Linked DNA regions of Mytilus edulis. The protein of the gene in region 2 purifies or fractionates together with the protein of the main gene of each other region. This does not show direct contact. Links are inferred from orthologs where the notes say so. Each region holds a gene or a part of one and is shown on either strand. Other genes may lie near its edges.

The links. The genes of interacting proteins can lie anywhere in the genome.
Region 1: the proteins of pre-mRNA-processing-splicing factor 8 (region 2) and protein ecdysoneless homolog purify together in Homo sapiens (affinity purification with mass spectrometry; 7 studies listed by BioGRID and IntAct, counting the BioPlex papers as one, with this or other methods). This does not show direct contact. The link is inferred for Mytilus edulis from reciprocal best matches to the Homo sapiens genes PRPF8 and ECD.

What each region holds. Positions count from the first base shown.
Region 1 is NC_092352.1:35,106,724-35,110,483, forward strand, and holds the start of protein ecdysoneless homolog, read left to right. Parts: upstream 1-1,063; 5' UTR 1,064-1,093; coding exon 1,094-1,295; intron 1,296-3,760. Other genes in the region: ragulator complex protein LAMTOR2-like, read right to left, coding at 832-899. UniProt on the Homo sapiens protein: Regulator of p53/TP53 stability and function. Inhibits MDM2-mediated degradation of p53/TP53 possibly by cooperating in part with TXNIP. May be involved transcriptional regulation. In vitro has intrinsic transactivation activity enhanced by EP300.
Region 2 is NC_092349.1:30,224,787-30,228,546, forward strand, and holds the start of pre-mRNA-processing-splicing factor 8, read right to left. Parts: upstream 2,807-3,760; 5' UTR 2,745-2,806; intron 676-2,744; 5' UTR 651-675; coding exon 461-650; intron 1-460. UniProt on the Homo sapiens protein: Plays a role in pre-mRNA splicing as core component of precatalytic, catalytic and postcatalytic spliceosomal complexes, both of the predominant U2-type spliceosome and the minor U12-type spliceosome.

The DNA.
Region 1 (3,760 bases), on a different chromosome or scaffold from region 2:
TCTTAGTACACAAAAAATGTATACATGTATTAAAATATCTGTCAAAATGTGTGATGGCATACATGTAAATGCTGAATTTACAGTGTTAGAGTCTAATAATTTGCTTGAATTTATTAAATTATTACTCAGATAATAAAAAGCTTTTATTTTATTTTATCTTTATTGAATTAAATAAAATATAGAAATATGATAAAATTATTAGCAATTGTTTAAATAATAATGATGTTATGAGTTAATTTCAATAATCCTTTGTTTATTTGTGCAAGTATAGTAATGACTTTTAACTGGTTGTTAATTGATTTCACAATTATCCTTTATAATCTTTTTGAGTTCATTTAATCTCCCGTTGATCTTCAATATAGTCTAGTCAACAATACAACTACAATACTGGTATATCAGTAATGTACCAGTATTGCTGGTTTTTTTTTATAAAAAGTTACAATACTGGTACAAATTTTTTAGTATTGTGGACAATACTGGTATACCAGTATTGCGATCACCAACTACAGGAGATCCGTAGATTATACTGTCATCTGCAAAGAGTCTGATTTTGCTATGTTGGATGTAATCTGGGAGGTCATTTATGTAAATTAAGAATAGTATTGGTCTTAGCACTGTACCCTGTGGGACTCCTGATGAGACTGGTATTTTTGAAGATGACATGTTTTCTAAAAGTACTGTTTGCGTTCTGTTTGAAAGAAAGGATTCTACCCAGTTAATGATTTGATCTGATAATGATATGCCAAAGTATTTCATTTTGTTTTCATTTATTTTTAGCATACTTTGTATATCATTAAATTCATAAACTTTGATATTAGTTAATATTCTTACAGTGTGCTTTGTACACCACCAGTATTTGCCTGACTCAAAACTTGAGTTAATGCTTTTGGCTTCAACATCTTTCACAAAATAATAGATCACATGATTCGGATCCAAAGCACTTTGTAACATTCTAAATGATTGGCCAATTTATTGAGGTTACGACCTGTGCTGAACTTCCGCAAATTTTGACTGGTACCCTTTGTAGAAATGTGTACAATTGAAAATAAGCTATCGTAGTTAATTATTACAAACCAGTCATCATTGAATTAGCATGGCAGAAAAGAAAGATCGTCTACCCGACGATGCTTCTGAATATTGGCTTTTCCCCTTGGTTGACACATCATTATGTCAAGAGACAAAGCGAAAAATTTTACTTGAATATATTGACACTTATCTTGCGTTTGTTAGTTCAACAATTGTCGACCACATTTGGCAAAAGGAGCAGTTTAATTTGACTGCTGTGACTGAAAAAGGTTACTTTGTTTACTTTTAGATTGCATTTCTGCCTGACTTTGAATCACCAAAAATAAATTGTAACCCTTCTATAAAATTTGCCCAAGATGTGAGGCATTTTCATTATTTTTCAGTCAAGTACTAAGACACAGGAATATCTGAGCTATATTGTCCTGAATGTGCATTAACAGTTAAACATGTGTAATTATATTTGCCACTGGCGATGCAACTCTTTGTAGAAATGTGTACAATTGAAAATAAGCTATCGTTATCGTAGTTAATTATTACAAACCAGTCATTTAATAAGCATGGTAGAAAAGAAAGATTGACTACCCGACAATGCTTCTGAATATTGGCTTTTCCCCTTTGTTGACACATCCTTGGATCCTTGGCTTATGTCAAGAGACAAAGTGAAAATTTTACTTGAATATATTGACACTTATCCTGCTTTTGTTAGTTCAACAATTGTCGACCACATTTGGCAAAAAGAGCAGTTTAATTTGACTGCTGTGACTGAAAAAGGTTACTTTGTTTACTTTTAGATTGCATTTCTGCCTGACTTTGAATCGCCAATAATAAATTGTAACCCTTCTTTATACGACCGCAAAAATTTTAATTTTTTGGTCGTATATTGCTATCACGTTGGCGTCGTCGTCGTCGTCGTCGTCGTCGTCGTCGTCGTCGTCGTCGTCGTCGTCGTCGTCGTCGTCCGAATACTTTTAGTTTTCGCACTCTAACTTTAGTAAAAGTGAATAGAAATCAATGAAATTTTAACACAAGGTTTATGACCACAAAAGGAAGGTTGGGATTGATTTTGGGAGTTTTGGTCCCAACATTTTAGGAATTAGGGGCCAAAAAGGGCCCAAATAAGCATTTTCTTGGTTTTCGCACTATAACTTTAGTTTAAGTGAATAGAAATCTATGAAATTTTGACACAAGTTTTATGACCACAAAAGGAAGGTTGTGATTGATTTTGGGAGTTTTGGTTCCAACAGTTTAGGAATTAAGGGCCAAAATAGGGCCCAAATAAGCATTATTCTTGGTTTTCGCACAATAACTTTAGTATAAGTAAATAGAAATCAATGAAATTTTAACACAAGGTTTATGACCATAAAAGGAAGGTTGGGTTTGATTTTGGGAGTTTTGGTCCTAACAGTTTAGGAATAAGGGGCCCAAAGGGTCCAAAATTGAACTTTGTGTGATTTCATCAAAAATTGAATAATTGGGGTTCTTTGATATGCCGAATCTAACTATGTATGTAGATTCTTAATTTTTGGTCCCGTTTTCAAATTGGTCTACATTAAGGTCCAAAGGGTCCAAAATTAAACTTAGTTTGATTTTAACAAAAATTGAATCCTTGGGGTTCTTTGATATGCTGAATTTAAAAATGTACTTAGATTTTTAATTATTGGCCTAGTTTTCAAGTTGGTCCAAATGGGGGTCCAAAATTAAACTTTGTTTGATTTCATCAAAAATTGAATAAATGGGTTCTTTGATATGCCAAATCTAACTGTGTATGTAGATTCTTAATTTTTGGTCCAGTTTTCAAATTGGTCTACATTAAGGTCCAAAGGGTCCAAAATTAAACTAAGTTTGATTTTAACAAAAATTAAATTCTTGGGCTTATTTGATATGCTTTATCTAAATATGTACTTTGATTTTTGATTATGGGCCCAGTTTTCAAGTTGGTCCAAATCAGGATTCCATATCAAGTATTGTGCAATAGCAAGAAATTTTCAATTGCACAGTATTGCACAATAGCAAGAAATATCTAATTGCACAATATTGTGCAATAGCAATTAATTTTCAATTGGAGTTATCTTTCTTTGTATAGAATAGTAGTTGATAATATATGTTGGAAATTTGCCAGACATGACTATGATGTCATTTTCTATTTTTATTTGCCAATAACTTTATGTAAATAACTTCATTGGAAATTTGCCAATATAAAATGTTGCTGATGAAGCTTTTTTTCCTTATCTTATCTAAAATGTTTTTAGATAATGTATGTTGGACATTTGTCAGACATGACTATGATGTCATTTTCTATTTTAATTTGCCAATAACTTTATGTAAATAACTTCATTGGAAATTTGCCAATATAAAATGTTGCTGATGAAGTTTTTTTTATTGTTTTATACAATAAACAATGTATATTCACTTTTACTACCAACCAATCTTTACCATTCAGTGATAACAAGCACTTTATTTTACATTTTAATATTTTATGATGTATTTAAAAGAGTAGTTATTATTGCAAACTCCATTAGAAATTTGAATTGATATCAGTTTTGGAAAAAGGGAAACGGGGATGTGAAAAAAAGGGGGGGGGGGGTTAAATTTTTCTCATTTCAGATTTCATAAATAAAAAGAAAATTTCTTCAAACATTTTTTTGAGAGGATTAATATTCAACAGCATAGTGAATTGCTAAAAGGCAAAAAAAAACTTTTAAGTTCATTAGACCACATTCATTCTGTGTCAGAA
Region 2 (3,760 bases):
ATAAAATGTAGATTGTAAATAATTGCCAGCTTGGCAAATTGTCACAAAATCTTATTTCTGTCCCAACATGTGTGTTTGAAAACAAAGGCAACAGTAGTATACCCCTGTTCATTTCTATGTGTATTTAATATTTCCTGCAACTGTTTTTTATACATATTTTGATTTTACTTAGGCCAAATAAAAATATATTTGTGGTTCCAGTAACCCTACTGTCCCTACTTTATCGGCTTAAAAATAGCCTACCCTAAAGATTTTATTGTCATTTTCCATTAAGCACTGTTAAAGTCAGAATGTTGCTCCCATAGACTCAATGTAAAAAAAAAACCATAAAATAAAAAAAAATCCCTACCTACCTACCCTAACTTTTTTTCAGATGTAACTGGAACCACACATACTTTTTTATTTGGCCTTATGATGTATTGATGTAGCATTAACAGTGTGTATGTTTTAATATAGTTACCCTTATCCTGTAATCTTTCTTCAGACATATAATCAGGTAGCTTCTGAAGTTGTGGCACTGGAGGCTGTTGTTGCTGCTGTTGCTGCTGTTGTTGTATGGGGACTTGCTGTATCAATGGTTGTGGCATCAACGGAACTTGTTGTATTATAAATGGCTGCCCACCAGGCCCTATCATATAGGGGAAAGCCATCTTGCCAAACGTTTATTTACAGCACCTGAAATAATTGTAATAAATATAACATTTTCATGGTATAACATGTGGGATTGTAAATATATTTCCTAAAATTACCAGAACCAACATCTGTGTTGATAGGATGACCAGGTCATTTCAGGTGATCACCTTGTACTGAATCTAGGATAATGACATAAAAATCACTTGTTTAAGTATCATACATCAATTTCCTTCCCAAAAATCACTTCTTTGAAGTATTATTATTTTAATAACCCCCACTAATTTCAACACCCCCGAACAGTGGAATTTTTATCGCTAACAGTAGAATTTTATTACATAATCTGAAAGATGAAACCTTGAACTTTACAGGAAAAATACTCCCACTGCTGGGATATGTAGAGCCATTATTATAGCATTTTTTCAACTAAAATCCAATTTGCAGCTAAATGATAGCATTAAAGGCATAAACCTTGCTACATGCAAAAAGTTCATTTTTTCTATTTTACTAATGAAAAGATATTATTTAGACCTATGTGTTTAAAATTTTGGTAAAACTACAAAATCACAATTTGTGACAAAATTTTGAATTTGCTACTCAAATAAGTGATTTCAAAATGCCAAAGCCAACAGAGAAGTTACCGAATTAGTAAATGGTTCAGTTAATGAAATCCGTAACTGCCATCGAATTCGTTAACCTTAGAGTTCGGAGATTTCCAGAACTGAGTGCTGTAATACTAGTATCACTATGGATTTTTTTTAATAAAAAACACAATTCATTTTGTCTTTTCATATTCACTTCCATGTCCCATATCTAACAATAAAAACACTTTAGAATACGACCTTTTCTTTAAACTGTCAGTGTAATCAAAGCGAAGCGGATTATGTAATGTGAAGAGTCAAAAATTAATTTTATGGTTCAATAAATTCAAAATAAATTTGTATCAAAAATAAGGCTCAGGGATATATATTAATAGGAATAACAACGTACACAGATGTTTGCGTATGAATACACAACGTTAGAGTGGGCGTGTCGCTATAAAAATTGATAACATTGAAAATAAAGCTAATTCTTTTAACCAATCAGAAGAGAGTAAATACATCAAATTTATTTATATTTTTATAAAGTAAAACAAAAATCTATATCAACTACATGTATAAATCTACGTCATGTGCTAGTCCAAATAATTATGACGTCTTGAAAGGCTATTATAATTTTTTTCTTTGACGCCTTACATCGACGTCATAACGCCAAACTCATATATTCAGTTGGACTTTGAGAAGGAATTTACTGCTTTATTAAAACGTTTAGCTGATTTCTCCTAAAGATGCTTCATTTTAGGTGTATAAAATATATTTTTTAACCAAACTCGGTACATTTTCACCGACCTGAATTTCCGGATAATGTAAAACAATGGTTCCGGAAATTCGGGTTTTACCGAGTTTGGTGTGAAAATTATTTTATAATCTTCTTACAGGAAATCAGACAAACGTTTTAAAAAATGCAGTCGACATGTTCCCGCCTCGGATGGAATTGTTCCTTATATTATTATTTCTGTCGGGATTAATTGGAAATATTTTGCACAAACAAACACATAAAAGGTAAGAATTTTTGTTTATGCATTGTGTTTTAGCCTTCAATGAAAATTTGATGGCTAAATTGGGTCTCAAAGTTGAGAGCAAAATATGCTCTCAAAGTCCAACCGAAAATGGCGGCTTCAGCATTATGACGTCGATGTAAGGCGTCAAAGAAAAAAATATAATAGCCTTTCAAGACGTCATAATTATTTGGACTACGTCATGTGCATGAAATATATGTCTATGTACTGTATGTTTTAACATTAGTATTGTATATGTTTATTGTGTAAATTCATGTATTTGTCGGTTATAAAAGCTCAAAGAGCTTATGTTATTGTTCTGGGACATGCCGACTTAAAATAAAGCTTGGAATTGAATTGAACTTATTTTCAAAGTTTGTCGCAGTTCGTTCTCAAAACACTGACGCAGACAACATGATAAAAGTACTTAATAAGAGTACATAGAGTATTTGTTATATGAATGCAACGTTAACACTAAATGCACACATTTAAACTCGAAGCTTGTAATGAAAAGTACCTCAACGTGCTGTGTTCGGCAAATGGCGGATTTCGTAAATACTGCGTCGGTCACGTGTTTTTACATAAAGGTAAAGAAAATGCTTGAGATGTTCCAAATGGAAAAAGTTCATTCCTTTTAATTTTAAGCAGTATATAAGCATTTTTTTTACATGAAAATAAAGATTAAAGCCATTGATTTAAAAATTATTATTTTTTAGGGTTGAAAGATAAGGCAAAAACTGTATTTCAGAAAGAAAAAAAAATGAAGTTCGGGTCATACTTTACCTATTTTAGACTTTAAAATTTTTAGTGGGGAGTTGTGTACCTTTGTATGTAATTGGCCACAAAAGGCATTAATTAATCATATGTTGAAATCAGAGCTCACACACATCTCAAGACATGTCATTATTGAAAATGGTTTACATGTGGTGGTCATACAGTAACATTCTCTAGGGCATATATTGAACAGGTAAATAATGTTAGGGGGATTAAAACAGGATGGCAAAATACACTTGTCAGACTCATGTCATGACAGGGCATACATATTCTTACACATAATTATTCCTGTTGTTCTTTCATGTCTTGTGATATGCTTAGACATAGGGCAAGTAGAAAATGATCTTTGATAATGTGAAAGTCAGGATTATACAGTGCAAACACAAGGTTGGACAGTAGTGGATATTTGGAATGGATTTTTATTCCACTATTTGAAAACCATCGTCTCTAGTAAATGCGACTGATATTTAAAAAAAAATCGACAAAAATCATGATGCCAATATTTGGACGGTGACTATATATTAATAGAATGTAGGAAGGCAAAACGTTTTTGAATCATGGGTAAGATTATGGGAAACAATCAAACAACCAGTCCTTGTCGAATACTGAATGTTTCATTTAGTCTGTATAAATTTGAATATTAGTTTCAGTAAGTCTTCAAATATACATGTCAATAAGTTTTCTTTGATTGAATGTGTCACTAAGTGTACCTTTGATTGAATGTGTCAGTAAACCTGTCTTTGATTGAATGTGTCACTA